Anolis sagrei: one gene and its partner. The protein of the gene in region 1 purifies or fractionates together with the protein of each later gene. This does not show direct contact. Links are inferred from orthologs where the notes say so. Each region holds a gene or a part of one and is shown in the gene's direction. Other genes may lie near its edges.

The links.
Region 2: the proteins of SNCA (region 1) and CLU purify together in Homo sapiens (affinity purification with western blotting; 3 studies listed by BioGRID and IntAct, with this or other methods). This does not show direct contact. The link is inferred for Anolis sagrei from reciprocal best matches to the Homo sapiens genes SNCA and CLU.

Annotation. Positions count from the first base shown.
Region 1 is NC_090025.1:20,884,668-20,892,264, reverse strand, and holds the start of SNCA (alpha-synuclein), read left to right. Parts: upstream 1-4,464; 5' UTR 4,465-4,853; intron 4,854-7,597. UniProt on the Homo sapiens protein: Neuronal protein that plays several roles in synaptic activity such as regulation of synaptic vesicle trafficking and subsequent neurotransmitter release.
Region 2 is NC_090021.1:3,069,907-3,078,314, forward strand, and holds the start of CLU (clusterin), read left to right. Parts: upstream 1-4,903; 5' UTR 4,904-4,984; intron 4,985-8,408.

The DNA of each region.
Region 1 (7,597 bases):
AAGACGTGTATATGTTGCACCCTAGTTGTCCTTCACTGCTAAATTAGTCTGCTGCTTTTAGGAGGAGCAAAGGACCCAATTTCACTACCAGAATGGACGTTTCTGCTGCCATTGAAGTCAGAATGTGTACATAGAACGAAAGAAGAAGATATTATCTTGTCCTTTTTTTCCTCAGGCAGCAAAATGTTTTGAACCAACTTTGCAATTACCAGAGTCTCAGTCCATCTACCTGTGGCTTCCATTCCACTTAGCTATCAGAAGCACAGTGTGATCCACATATCCATGGCACTGGTATCTGCAGTTTTATTTATCCACGTCTGACCAAATACATCTCTTTAGGCATTTTCTAGATCTTCCAGCATAACGTAATGGTATGCTTGGGCCAGAACTACTTAATTTCAATAGGGTTCACAGTTTCATGTATCTACAAAACGCCCAGGAGCTTAACTTCTATAATATGGGGATCATACTCTATTGCAGTGGTTCTCAACCTGGGGTCCCCATATGTTTTTGGCCTACAACTCCCAGAAATCCCAGCCAGTTGACCAGCTGTTAGGATTTCTGGAAGTTGGAGGCCGAAAACATCTGGGGACCCCAGGTTGAGAACCACTGCTCTATTGTAAAGAAGAAGTCATAATATAAGTTTATTGAGTTCATCAAGAACTAGACTCTACTCAAGGTATAAAAGAGCCAGGCAACTCAATCTTTAGATGAAACTTTAAAAAAACAACAAAAATAAATCTTTATTTCAAGGATGAAAATGAGAAAATTCTGTACACCCTTTGTTTATTGTGGATTTAAGCTGATGTAACAGTGAACTGACCTTTATAACAGCAAATTGGCATGGTGTTTTTCTTATGTCTGAGTGGATTTTTAAAAAATGCGTAAATAACAAGAGAATTGAAGATGTTAACTCTCTCCTCTACTATGGTTGCAGTCTAGATGACTCCTATATGAGTAGTTTTATAAAAGGAGGCAAGTATCCATTGGGGTCTTTGCAGGTTTTCTTCCAAAGCTACTATAGGTATTAGCCAGACTAGGCTATGGTGAGGAAAGTAAGTGGAGCTGGACCATAGTAAAGGAAAAGAGTTTATGACCTTATCACCTGGCTTCGTCTGGTTTTGTGGAGGAAAGAGGGGGGGGGGCAGCGGACAGAGGCGGCCCTAGGTAATTTTCAACAGTATTTTGGCGCCCCCTCCCCCCCCCAACCAATCACTGATAGATATTTTCTGTTCATCGTGGGAGTTCTGTGTACCATATTTGGTTCAATTCCATCATTGGTGGAGTCCAGAATGCTCTTTGATTGTAGGTGAACTATACATCCCAGTAACTACAACTCGCATATGTCAAGGTCTATTTTCCCCCAAGAGTGCCTCAAGTGCGCCCCTGGGCAAAATCAACTATACTGCAAATGCTTACTTTGCGTAATGGGTTGAGACATCCCTGGCAGCAGAGTGAATCTGTTGCCTCACGAGCAGCTCTTCTTGATGATGCTTTCTCTATCACATGTGGGAAGTGTCGCCCTTCTGGGGAGGATTTGTGCTGGCTCCATTGGGGCCAGCACAATATAGGAAGCCTCCTGTGTTGTGTGGGAAGCATCCACAGATGCCTCCACCCCGATTGGGGGCAGGGCCTCCACCAGAAGTCACACAATGTTGTGTGATGGCTGGCATTTCCATCCCCAAAACAGACTGGAAGCTTCCTAGGACACTGAATTTGGTGAGTGTGATGAGGTTGTTAAACTCCTCTAACACTGCACAGGAAACATTTTCTGTAGAGAAAATAATATTTTTCTGCACATTCTGAACAATTTTGATTCTTTGGATTTTGGATGCATTTGGGATGCAGAAGTCATGGACATAGAGGACCAACGAGATGTTTGAAACTCCAGCTCCCAGAAAATCCAGCTAGGATGTCCAGTGAGGGAGGATTGGAGATAGTGATCCAAAACATCTCAAGAGACAGCCAAATGTTCCCCATCCCAGCTCCATTATTTGATATGCAACTGATCCTCGGTATCCACAAAGTCTGCATTGACAAATTCCATCATCTACAATTTGGAAATATTCTCTTCACATTCCATAAACCAATCATAATATTACCCTTCTATATAAGGGGCACCCTTTCCCTACACCATGTATATCATGTGATTTGAGAATCCACAGATTTTGGAGAGACCTGGAACCAAATACCAGAAGATACTATTATTTATTTACTGTATTTATATACCACCTTTCTCACCCCTGAGGGACTCAAGGTGGTTTACAACATACTAATGGCAAAAATTCAATGCCAACATACAGTACACAAAGAAATCATAATAATTAATTACTACATATAACTATTAACTTAAAACCAGTTAAAACCATTAAAGATAAGACATAAATAACATTTAAACATTCAGACAAAGCATAAAATCATCCTAGTATAAAGATTAAAATCCCATGATCCAGAAATCATATATCATAGCCATTCTGAACTGTCATTGCACATGTTCCTTAATTATTCTTCCTACTGCATTATTTATTAGCCAAAGGCTTGATCCCACAACCATGTCTTTGTTCTCTTTTTAAAGGTCAGGAGGGAGGGCGCTGATCTAATCTTTCTAGGGAGGCAGTTCCAGAGCCAAGGAGCCACAACTGAGAAGGCCCTGTTTGTTGTCCCCATCAACTGCACATGTGACAGAGGCGGGACCAAGAGCAGAGCCTCCCCAGTTGATCTTAACCTCCTTGATGGTTCATACTAAAAGCCGATTTTATTTGCTATGCAAATAAGCAATGCTTCTTATATAACCTACCTATCACTTGAGAGCACTGGTTCTCAACTTTTGGTTCTCCGGGTGCTTTGGACTTTGAGTCCCAGAATTTCAGGTAGTTAACCAAGCTAGGTGAAGCTTCTGGGAGTTGAAGACTGAAAAACCCCTAGGACCAAAGTTTGGGAACCACTGCAAGATCAGAGCCCACAGTATTTACTATGCAACAAGGAATACTTCTTATATAACCTCTATGTCTTTAAAGCACTTGTTACCAACTTTTGCTCCCATAAGTGTTTTGGAGCTTGGAGAAGACAATGATGTTGGGGAAATGGAAGGAAAAAGGAGGAGGGGACAACCAAGGGCAAGATAGATGGATGGTATCCTTGGCTTGGCTTGGAAGTAACTGGGGGTGGCCACAGCCAACAGGGAGCTCTGGCATGAGTTGATCCATGAGGTCATGAACAGTTGGAAGTGACTGAGTGAATGAATAAACAACAGCAACAAATGTTTTGGACTTTAGCTCTCAGAAGTCCTGACAGCTGGTTAAGCTGGCTATGACTTCTGGGAGTTAAATCATAGAATCATAGAATCAAAGAGTTGGAAGAGACCTCATGGGCCATCCAGTCCAACCCCCTGCCAAGAAGCAGGAATGTTGCATTCATGGCAGGGGGTTGGACGGGATGGCCCATGAGGTCTCTTCCAACTCTTTGATTCTATGATTCTCTGATTCTATGATTAACTCCCAGAAGTCATAGCCAGCTGTCAGGACTTCTGAGAGCTGAAGTCCAAAACATTTGTTGCTGTTGTTCTGGGAGTTAAAGTCCCAAAACCTGTAGGACCAAAGCTTGAGAACCACTACCAGTTTAGAGTACACCTATGGAAGCAGAAGCAGTGAAAAATATAGGTATAAGAGCGGAGGTCACTACACCCTTGCCCACCAACCTGCTTTTCCTTGGGTACATTTACACAGCAGAATATGCACCACTTTAACTGCCATGGCTCATTGCGACAACTCCCTTGATTCCAAAACATTGTGCCATAGCAGCTAACATGATGCCAAACTGAATTAATTATATAATATAGATGCACCCTGGAACCAAACCCCTGAAGAATGTTTGTTGTTCATTTGTTCAGTCGTCTCCGACTTCGTGACCTCATAGATGAGCCCACGCCAGAGCTCCCTGTCGGCTGTCACCACCCCCAGCTCCTTCAAGGTCAGTCCAGTCACTTCAAGGATGCCATCCATCCATTTTGCCCTTGGTCGGCCCGTCTTCCTTTTGCCTTCCACTTTCCCCAGCATAATTGTCTTCTCTAGGCTTTGCTGAAGAATGTATTTACTATGTAATAAGACATGCTTCTTATATAACATGTCTATCCCTTTAAACTACTGCTTCCTAAAATTTGGTTGTTTTGGGTGTGTTGAGCCTCAGCTCCCAGAATTCCTGACGTCCAAAGCAGCTGAGGCTTCTGGAAGCTGAAGTCTCAAAAACCTGCAGGACTAGAGTTTGCAGGAAGGCAGCGCAAACTGGAAGAAAAATTCCCCACTTGTTGCCCATCGGAGGAGGAAGAGTTTCTCCTTTCAGGAAAGCCTTCGAGGTGTATTTCGGAGGTGGAGGGGAGGGGAGAATAGGGGGGTTTCTTTACTACCGGGTGGAGCCAGCAAAAGATGGAGAGACCAGGGAGGAGGAGGAAGAGGAGGAGAGGAGGAAGGCGGCGTCCTGGCTCCGGCTTGGCTCCTGGGCGCGGCTTGCCTCCGCTACCTGACGAATGAGACAAGAGGCGGTGAAAAAAGGCGCAGGGGGAGGGGGAAAGAGGGAGAGAGAGGAAGAGAAGCAAGGGAAGGAACTGGCTGGTCTCCCTTCAAGCCCTGGCTGCCTTCCCTCTTTCCCACCCATTGCCCTGAAAGCGGAACCTGGGACCCATCTTTCCCCTCCTGGCCTTACTTCCCCTGGACCTGGGTACCACTCTTGCCTGCATCCCTGCATCCTTCAGCCGGGATGTACTAAGCCAAACATCGCCCTGCTCTCTTCTCCCTGCTCTTAATCACACTTCGAAAGAGTCCCGAGGCGAAAGGAGTCACATTTCATTGGCAAGGAAGGTAAGTAAACTGGTTGAATTGAGACTGGGTTCTTTTATTTCTCCCCTTTGGGGAGAGAAACAGAGAAGGGTTGTGGAGGGATGGCTTTTGCCAGTCTTGGGTGCACTTACAGGCGAGTAAATTCCACCGAGCAGGAAAACAGCTTGCTTTTGGTAGATCTAGGGATGCGTCTACATCCCTACAATTCAGTTTCAAAACACTTAGATTGTCATTACATAGTGGTATGGAATCATAGGATTTGTAGCCTGGTGTCCTGTCTGGTACATCTAGTAGCATCTACAGTCAAGAGTAAATGTATAGTCAAAGGCTTTCATGGCCAGAATCACTGTGCTGTTGTGAGTTTTCTGGGCTATATGGACATGTTCCAGAAGCATTCTCTCCTGATGTTTCGCCTGCATCTATGGCAGGAATCCTCAGATGTTGTGAGGCAGAACTCACAACCTCTGAGGATACCTGCAATATATGTAGGTGAAACATCAGGAGAGAATGCTTCTGGAGCATGGCCATACAGTCCAAAAAACTCACAATAACCCAGAGTGAATGTAGTTTGACAGCACTTTTAACTGCCAGGGCTCTATGGTATGAAATCCTTGGAGTTGTAGTTTGGAGGTACTAGCACTGTTTGGCTTGTTGTAAAACTACAACAAGCATTAATTCATGAGCCATGGCTATTAAAATAGTGTCACACACCACCATTCTACAGTGTCCAGATGGACAATAAGAAAGGTATCCTCGTGGCAATGCCAATTTGCATGTCTTACTCAAGAATAGAGCTTGGTTTAGTGTGGAATTATCTCGTGTGCAAGATTACAGGCAAGCATAGCAATCTTGTGACATAGGCTGCCTTCTGAAGTAAGTCCTGTTGGAAGTAGCAGGATTTATTTTGTATTGTCAAAGGCTTTCATGACCAGAATCACTGGATTGCTGTGAGTTTTCCAGGCTGTACGGCCATGTTCCAGAAGCATTCTCTCCTGACATTTCACCTGCCTCTATGGCAGGCATCCTCAGAGGTTGTGAGATCTGTAGTGTCGAAGGCTTTCATGGCTGGAATCACTAGGTTCTTGTGGGTTTTTTCGGGCTATATGTGAGATCTGTTGTAAACTAGGAAAGTAGAGTTACCTCTTCAGGAATCTACCATACTCTCCTTCTTCCCCATCCATTGCCATGAAAGCGGGAGCTGGGACCCATCTGTTGAAATTGTCCACATGCTTGTGGATTTCAGTGGCTTCTCTGTGTAGCTTGACATGACAGTTGTGAGAGTGGTCCAGCATTTCTGTGTTCTCAAATAATATGTATGCTGTGTCCAGGTTGGTTCATCAAGTACTCTACTATGGCTGACTTCTCTGTTTGAATTAGTCTGCAGTGCCTTTCATGTTCCTTGAATTGTGTTGTATTTACCGTTATTTTAAGAAAATGACTATGAGACTTTGGATACCTGTGGAGCATCTTCCAAATGTTGCAAGTATGTATGTGTGAACAGGTGTCTAGCCCTGAACACCTGTTTTTCAAGACCTCTGTATCTGTATACATCTTTATAGATCTTTTGACTACTGTCAAAAATCAAAATATGCATGTGGTTGAGTTCTTTTCCCCCTCGAGGGGCTGTGGTTGATTTGCATCACTTTGCTGGACTTCTAGGACCAGTGAGGAATGTTGTAGTATCCATTCAAAATGGACCTGAACTGTTTTGCTATTGGGAGTAACACATCCATTTCAGTGAATGGGCTACATCTCTATCTGTATCCTAATGAGGACAGAATTCTCTGTCTTCCCCACAATGGCAAACCAAACGATCCAGTAAACACCTCCAGAGCCTCGCCCTGACTCCTCAGGAATTCAGTGGCATTGCTCCTAGCAGGGTTTGCTGCTAAAATTCCCTTGGGGAGATGGAAATAACAAACATAGAACAGTGGCATTTAAGAACACTAACAAGTCTCTGGGGCAACTGTAAGCATAGTTATTGGACTGTAATTCCCAGCAGCCCCAAGCAATATTGCCAGGAGTGAGGAAGGATGGTGTTGTGGTGCTTTAAGATAACAGGTCTTTTGGGTGTTTTGGATATGGTACAAATGCAACCTGATTTCCAAGCCATGAAATATTGAGTTATGTTCTATCTGTTTATAATTTACCTAGAACCAGAACTCTATTAATACCCCCCACATCCAGACTAATGGTGCTTGTTGCCTTGTAGTAGTGTTCAAAGAGCTAGCCATGCTAGTATGTTTTGCTTCATTAGACTTTTTGGTTATATATGAACATGAAAAGGCATAAAATAATCCAAAAAGAGGCTAAAAAAAGAAATTTTAACATAAGATATCATGCACACAGTCTGTTTCACTTATGCATTGCTTTCTGTAAGAACACAGTCATCCAAGACTCTATGGAATCTGTAGGTGGGCAATTGGATATCTTTTCTGAGATGTGTGAGGATATTTTGGCTCTTTTCACAGGAGTAAGGAACATTCATACAGATCTTACTACAGTATAGTCTTGCTTATCCAACCTCCACTCATCCAACATTCTGTATTATCCAACGCAGTCTGCCTCCTGTCTGGATCTACAGCTGTTTCAATATATTGTGACGTTTTGGTGCTAAATTCATAAATACAGTAATTACTACATAAAGTTACCATGTATTGAACTGCTTTTTAAATCAAATTGTTGTAAAATATTATGTTTTGGTGCTTAATTTGTAAAATCATAATGTAATTTGACATTGAATAGGCTTTTCCTTAATCCCTCCT
Region 2 (8,408 bases), on another chromosome or scaffold:
AGATAATGCGGATTATCTGATTTGATCATCTGGGTTTGATAGCAGTTTAGAAAGGATCAGAGTCTGGGTGGCCATCTGTCTGGAGGGCTTGGGTGGTATATCTTCCTGCCTGGCAGAAAGGGGTCAGTCTGGATGGCCTTTGGGGGACCCTTCTAGCTCTGTGTTTATCCTGGAGTGGAAAAGGCAGACTTAGACAAGATGTTGCAATAAATAAGCAGCAAGATGAAGGAAAGTCAAAAACAGAAACCGAGTCATCTGCGGTTTGTGTCGCAATGGAAAAGGATGAGTCAACAAAAGAGCTGATGCGACACCTCAAGACACTTTGCAACACTTGAGGAAGCAGTTGTGGAGAAAGGTCAGCCTGTCTATCTACACTGTGGAATGAATGCAGTTGGACATCACTTTGACCACCCTGGCTGAATACTATGGAATGCTTGGGAGTTGTAGTTGGATGTATTCCTGAGCTTTCTCTGCCTTTGGTGACTCGCCAAAACTACAACTTCCATAATTCCATAGCATTGGGTCAAAGCATTGAAAGAGGTCTTGAATTTCATTCGTTCTATGCTGTAGAGCAGGCAAGAGCAAACTTTGGCCCTCCAGGTGTTTTGGACTTCAACTCCCACAATTCCTAGCTTTGAGGTCGAGCCCCCAAGCTCCCTCAATCAAGTTGATCTGAACCGCAGCAGGGAGTTCCGCAGTTCCAGGACATCTGATTGGGCCAACAATGATGGGACTGTGGCCACAGCAGTAGTTTCAACTAAAAATCACCGTCTGCTTTCCTTTGTAACAACAGTGTAATAATCCCCAATAAAAGTATCCTTCAACTGCAACTTTTTCTCCTCGTAGTGATACATTGTGTCTCTTTACTGCCTCTAACACTCTCTAACATGAACCTTTCCCTTTCCGAGCCGCAGATCATTGTTAGCTCAGCCGGGAAGCTCTTACAGAATCCTGGGGAGGCTGAAACTGCGTTCCTCTGAACCATGGATACGGAAACCCTTTGGGGCCCCGTATCCACGGGTCAACAGATCGACTCCACTGTTGGCTCACCCAAGATGCTCTTATAGCATCCCGGGAAGGCTGAAACTGCGTTCCTCTGAACCGTTGATACGGAAACCCTTTGGGCCCCCGTATCCGTGGGTCAACAGATCAACTCCACTGTTGGCTCACCCAGGATGCTCTTATAGCATCCCGGGAAGGCTGAAACTGCGTTCCTCTGAACCGTTGATACGGAAACCCTTTGGGCCCCCGTATCCGCGGGACAACAGATCGACTCCACTGTTGGCTCACCCAGGATGCTCTTACAGCATCTTGGGGAGGCTGAAACTGTGTTCCTCTGAACCATGGATACGGAAACCCTTTGGGCCTCCGTATCCGCAGGTCAACAGATCGACTCCACTGTTGGCTCACCCAGGATGCTCGTACAGCATCCCGGGGAGGCTGAAACTGCGTTCCTCTGAACCGTGGATATGGAAACCCTTTGGGGCCCCGTATCCGCGGTCAACGGACCGACTCCAAACCGATGCCATTTTCTCCTAGACTAATTTTGTGACTAACTGTTATCTCACTTTTTCATTATGGACCCCTGCATCTCATGTGTGTCCAGAAGCCTGACAACTCTGGGGAACCTGCTGACCTCTGCTTCGGCAGAGTCTCCTAAATTCATGTTCAACATCGGCTTCAGGCCCTTTCCTGAAGCTGGGAAGGGCCTGAGGCCAGGAATTGTGGGAGTTGAAGTCCAAAACACCTGGAGGGCCAAAGTTTGCCCATGCCTGGTATAAAGGTAACCTTTGTTACATGCAGCCTTGATCAAGGTCATGTTCATTGCACATTCAAAAACCACACCTGTGAGAACATCCTTCATGAGGTTTGCAACATCTAAGCGGATTAAGAGATTGGAAGGGAAGTTCAAACGTTTTGGGTTTGTTTACTCTGAAAAGGAGGAAAAGGTGAATCAAGGGACAGAGGTGCAGAAAAGTAAACACAAGGCCCAAAAGATAGGTCGTACAATGGAATGCATGCAGTTTGACACCACTTCAGCTGATCCTGGGAGTTGTAGTTCCACAAGGTCTTCGGGATTTCTAGTGTAGTGAGGCACCACTACTATTTGGCAGAGAAGCCGAAGACCTTGTGGAATTACAACTCCCAGGATAAGCTAAGGTGGTGCCAAACTGCATGCATTCCATTGTACGATCTACCTTTTGGGCCTGTGTCTCCATACTGAGGAATGTTGGGAGTTGTAGTTTGATGAGATGCTTAGAGCTCTGTAGGCCCATTCATGCTATACAAGGGGCCTGGGATTTCTAGTTTAGCAAGGCGCTACTACTATTTGGCAGGGAAATAAGACCCCTTGTATAGCATGAAAGGGTCCACAGAGCTCTAAGTATCTCATCGAACTACAACTCCCGACACTCCTCAGTATGGAGCCACAGCCACAGCTCCATATTGAGGAGTGTCGGGAGTTGTAGTTCGATGAGATACTTAGAGCTCTGTGGACCCTTTCACACAGAACTCCCATGACCAACAGAAAATACTGGAAGGGTTTGGTGGACACTGACCTTGAGTTTTGGGAGTTGTAGTTCACCTACATCCAGAGAGCACTGTGGACTCAAACAATGATGGATCTGGACCAAACTTGGCATGGATACTTAATATGCCCAAATATGAACACTGGTGGAGTTTGGGGAAAATAGAGCTGGACATTTGGGAGTTGTATTTGCTGGGATTGATCACCTACAATCAAAGATCATTCAGAACCCCATCAATGGTAGAATTGGCCCAAACTTGGCACACAGAACTCCCATGACCAACAGAAAATACTGAAAGGGTTTGGTGGGCACTGACCTTGAGTTTTGGAGTTGTAGTTCACCTACATCCAGAGAGCACTGTGGACTCAAACAATGATGGATCTGGACCAAACTTGGCACGGATACTTAATATGCCCAAATGTGAACACTGGTAGAGTTTGGGGAAAATAGAGCTTCACATTTGGGAGTTGTATTTGCTGGGATTGATAGTTCACCTACAATCAAAGAGCATCCTGAACCCCACCAACGGTAGAATTGGGCTAAACTTCCCACACAGAACCCCCAGGACCAATACGAAATTCTGTGTTTTCTGGTGGTCTTTGCCGACCCCTCTGACACCCCCTCGTACCCCCCCCCCTTCCAGGGGTCCCCACTCCCAGGTTGAGAAACGCTGACCTAGAGTCATAAGAACCAGACATCCTGAGGAGTGAGGTTGAATGGGCCTTAAGAAGCATTGCTAACAACAAGGCAGCAGGAGACGACGGGATCCCAGCTGAACTGTTTAAAATCTTAAAAGATGATGCTGTCAAGGTGATGCATGCCATTTGCCAGCAAATATGGAAAACACAAGAATGGCCATCAGACTGGAAAAAATCAACTTATATCCCCATACCAAAAAAGGGAAATGCGAAAGACTGCTCAAACTTCCGTACAGTGGCCCTTATTTCTCATGCCAGTAAGGTAATGCTCAAGATCCTGCAAGGAAGACTCCAGCAATACATGGAGCGAGAGTTGCCAGATGTTCAAGCTGGGATTAGAAAAGGCAGAGGAATGAGAGACCAGATTGCCAATATCCGGATGCTGGAGAATGGAGAAAGGCAGGGAGTTTCAGAAAAACATCTACTTCTGCTTCATTGACTATTCCAAAGCCTTTGACTGTGTGGATCATAATAAATTGTGGCAAGTTCTTGGTGGGATGGGCATACCAAGCCCCCTTGTCTCTCTCCTGAGGAATCTGTACAAGGACCAAGGAGCAACAGTCAGAACTGACCACGGAACAGGAGACGGGTTCAAGATTGGGAAAGGCGTCCGGCAAGGCTGCATACTCTCACCCAACCTCTGTAACTGGTATGCAGAACACATCATGCGAGGATGTGCGGGGCTTGATGAATGCAAGGCTGGGGTGAAAATTGCTGGAAGAAACATTAACAACCTCAGATATGCAGATGACACCACTCTGATGGCCGAAAGCGAGGAGGAGCTGAGGAGCCTTCTAATCAAGGTGGAAGAAGAAAGCGCAAAAGCCGGGTTGCAGCTAAACATCAAAAAAACCAAGATGATGGCAACAAGAATGATTGACAACTGGAAAATAGAGGGAGAAACCGTGGAGGCTGTGACAGACTTTGTATTTCTAGGTGCAAAGATGACTGCAGATGCAGACTGTGGCCAGGAAATCAGAAGACGCTTCCTTCTTGGGAGGAGAGCAATGTCCAGTCTCGATAAAATAGTAAAGAGTAGAGACATCAGACTGGCAACCAAGATCCATTGCCTAGTCCAAGCCATGGTATTCGCTGTAGTCACATCTACGCATGTGAGAGCTGGACCTTCGGGAAGGCTGAGCGAAGGAAGAGAGATGCTTTTGAGCTGTGGTGTTGGAGGAAAGTGCTGAGAGTGCCTTGGACTGCGAGAAGATCCAACCAGTCCATCCTCCAGGAAATAAAGCCCGACTGCTCACTGGAAGGAAGGATACTAGAGACAAAGTTGAAGTACTTTGGCCACATCATGAGGAGACAGCAAAGCCTAGAGAAGACAATTATGCTGGGGAAAGTGGAAGGCAAAAGGAAGAGGGGCCAACCAAGGGCAAGATGGATGGATGGCATCCTTGAAGTGACTGGACTGACCTTGAGGGAGCTGGGGGTGGTAACGGCCGACAGGGAGCTCTGGCGTAGGCTGGTCCATGAGGTCACGAAGAGTCGGAGACGACTGAACGAATGAACAACAACAAAGAGTCATAAGGCTATGCTGTTTTCCCATTGGCGAGCGCTCCCTCTAGCGACCACTCTGGGTAGTGCGCCTTTTTGCGGATGGATTGAGAACTGGGGACCTGGATGGGGAAGGTGACGTCACAGCGGTGGGGGGGGGGGGGAGAAAAAGGAGGGAGGGGCTGTAGGATAAAAGGGCCGGAGTGCTGCTGCGCCATTCGGACAGTCCGAGGAGGGAAGAAGAGCCAAGGACAGGTAAGAAGGAGAGAGTGGGAGGGATTGCCTGAGGAAGGGGAGATGCAATGCACTGCAATGCAAGAGGGAAGGGATTACTTTTGCAAGGCTTGCAAAGTCCCCATCAAAAATATAAGCAAACACCATGTTAGTTTATCCCCCGGTCCATAAGAATGGGGTATGAGTCTGCAAAACACGCAAGTCAGCCCCCTTTTGGCCCATTCACACATGCATGCGTGCAAAAAGCGTGCAAGATGCGTGTTTGCGTTCTTTCCTGCTCCTGTGGTTGAGGAGGGAAGGAAAAAGAAAATAAACCCGCAAATTGACGCGCAGAGGGCGTCTCGTGTGAACGTGACATGGGGAACACGTGTCATCATGCGTGTTTGCAGATATTACATATTATGATTATTAGTTTGAACCCCGTTTTACTTTTTGGCTAGAGTTCTGTACTTATTTCCTCTTACAGAGCATCCTTTTTAAAGGGACCACAACTCCCAGCATGCTGGTTGGAGGATGATGGGACTTATGGGAGTTCCCAAGATCTGATTTATTTTGCAAATATTACATATTATGATTATTAGTTTGAACCCAGTTTCCCCTTTTGGCTCAAGTTCTGTGCCTATTCCCTACTATAGAGCATCTTTTTTAAAGGGACCACAACTCCCAGGATGCTGCTGGCAGGATGATGGGAGTTATAGTTTCTTCCAATTCCCAAAGCTGTGGTTTATTTTGCAAATACTACATATTATGATTATTAGTTTGAACCCCATTTTTTGGCTCAAGTTCTGTGCCTATTCCCTACTATAGAGCATCCTTTTTAAAGGGACCACAACTCCCAGTATGCTGCTTGCAGGCTGATGGGAGTTATAGTTTCTTCCAATTCCCAAACTCTGATTTATTTTGTGCCTATCCTATTTTGGACATTACATGCACCTTACATGGTCCCCTAACTATTGCAATATTTCGATTTTTATATTTTGATATATTATCATTATATGAATTTATATTGTATTGTTATTGCATTTATTATATTATAATATTATATTTGTTTACATACCACTTTCTTCTCTTCAGGCTGTGAACTATGCTAAAAACAATGCAGTATCCAATTTACATAGATCCTATTTTGTAATGTAATATTCTGATTTATTATACTGTATTTTAATACTATATTTATTACTAGCCGCCCCCTGCCACACGTTGTTGTGGATCTCATGGGGGTTCTGTGTGGAAGGTTTGGCCCAATTCTATAGTTGGTGGGATTCAGAATGCTCTTTGATTGTAGGTGAACTATAAATCCCAGCAACTACAACTCCTGAATGACAAGATTCTATTTTCCCCAAACTCTACCAGTGTTCACATTTGGGCATATTGAGTATTTGTGTAGAGTTTGGTCCAGATTCATCATTGTTTGAGTCCTCAGTGATCGCTGGATGTAGGTGAACTACAGCTCCAAAACCAAAGGACGTTGCCCACCAAACCCTTCCAGTATTTTCTGTTGGTCATGGGAGAACTGTGTGCCAAGTTTGGTTCAATTCCATCGTTGGTGGGGTTCAGAGTGCTCTTTGATTGTAGGTGAACTATAAATCCCAGTAACTACAATTCCCAAATGACGAAATCAATTTTTTTGAGTGAAGGACATACATTGGGTTGTTAGGTGCCTTGTGTCCAAATTTGGTGTCAATTCATCCAGTGGTTTTTGAGTTTTGTTAATCTCACAAATGAACATTACATTTTTATTTATATAGACTAGCCGTCCCCTGCTACGCTTTGCTGTGGCCCACTCTGTGTATATGTGTTTTGTGTGTTTGTGTATATGTGTTTTTGCATATATATATGGTTTTGCCCATGTGTTGTAATTTAATTTTTAGTTTTTTGGCTTTTTAAGTCTCTTCTGCTGTGTTTTTCAGTGTTTTTATGAGTGACAGTCATTCGTTGGTTTGATAGGCATATCGTGTCCAAATTTGGTGTCAATTTGTCCAGTGGTTTTTGAGTTATGTTAATCCCACAAACTAACAATACCTTTTTATTTATATAGACACTTATTTATATACTGCTTTCCTCTCTTAAAGCAGTAAACAGTGCTCAAAACAATGCAATATTTAATTTGCATGGATCCTATTTTGCATATTGCATCTCTCCTACATTGCATCCTCCCTTAAGTTTTTATTTAATGATTCCAATTAGTTAAAAGTAAAGGTTTCCCCTTGACATTAAGTCCAGTTGTGTCCAACTCGGGGACTCTGGTGCTCATCTCCATCTCTAAGTCAAAGACACCTCCAAGGTCATGTGGCCAGCATGACTGCATGGAGCACTGTTACCTTCCCGCCGGAGTGGTACCTATTGATCTCACATTTGCATGTTTTCAAACTGCTAGGTTGGCAGGAGCTGGAGCTAACAGCAGGAGCTCATCCTGCTCCCTGGATTTGAACTGCCGACCTTTTGGTCAGCAAGTTCAGCAGCTCAGCGGTTTAACCCACTGTGCCACCGAAGGCGCCTAACACCTCCCAAAAAAGAACCCCCCAGAAGCAACCAGCCAGTCTTTGAAGCTGCAAGGCCATTTAATGCTAAATTTTGCAGTTACCGTATCCTATTTTACACATTGCATATCTCCTGCCTTTTATTTACCCTGTCTTCTTTTTAAAATCTAATATTTGGATTTATTTGTGCATTAATCCTGTATTTTGAATTTATTTGTGCATTGATCCTCTATTTTGAATTTATTTGTGCCTTGATCCTCTATTTTGAATTTATTTGTGCCTTGATCATATATTTTGAATTTATTTGTGCCTTGATCCTCTATTTTGAATGTATTTGTGCATTGATCCTCTGTTTTGAATTTATTTTTGCATTGATCCTGTATTTTGAATTTATTTGTGCGTTGATCCTGTATTTTGAATTTATTTGTGCATTGATCCTCTATTTTGAATGTATTTGTGTATTGATCCTATGTTTTGAATTTAGTTTTGCATTGATCCCCTATTTTGAATTTAGTTTTGCAATGATCCTCTATTGTGAATTTAGTTTTGCATTGATCCTCTATTTGGAATTTATTTTTGCATTGATCCTATATTGTACCTTGACTTATTTTTTTTTCTTTAACTTTCTGATTTATTTTGCATAGGATATATATATATATATATATATATATATATATATATATATATATCCAAATATAGAACTTCAGGCAGCGGTGGTGCTTGGCTTCTTCCAAAGCATATTTCCCACATTGTATCTTCCCTTTGCTTTTAATGTAACATTTGTATCTATTTTTCATATACTGTATCCTATTTTGCATCCTCTAAATGGGCTGATCTCTTTTGCATGGATCCAATGTTTTTCCCTTCCAAATCAGGCTCTCCATGTGGCTGAAACCCTTTGCTTTGCATGAAGGACGTGTCCTGCATTGTATCTAAATGTGGTTTTGACTTTGTCATGGTCAGAT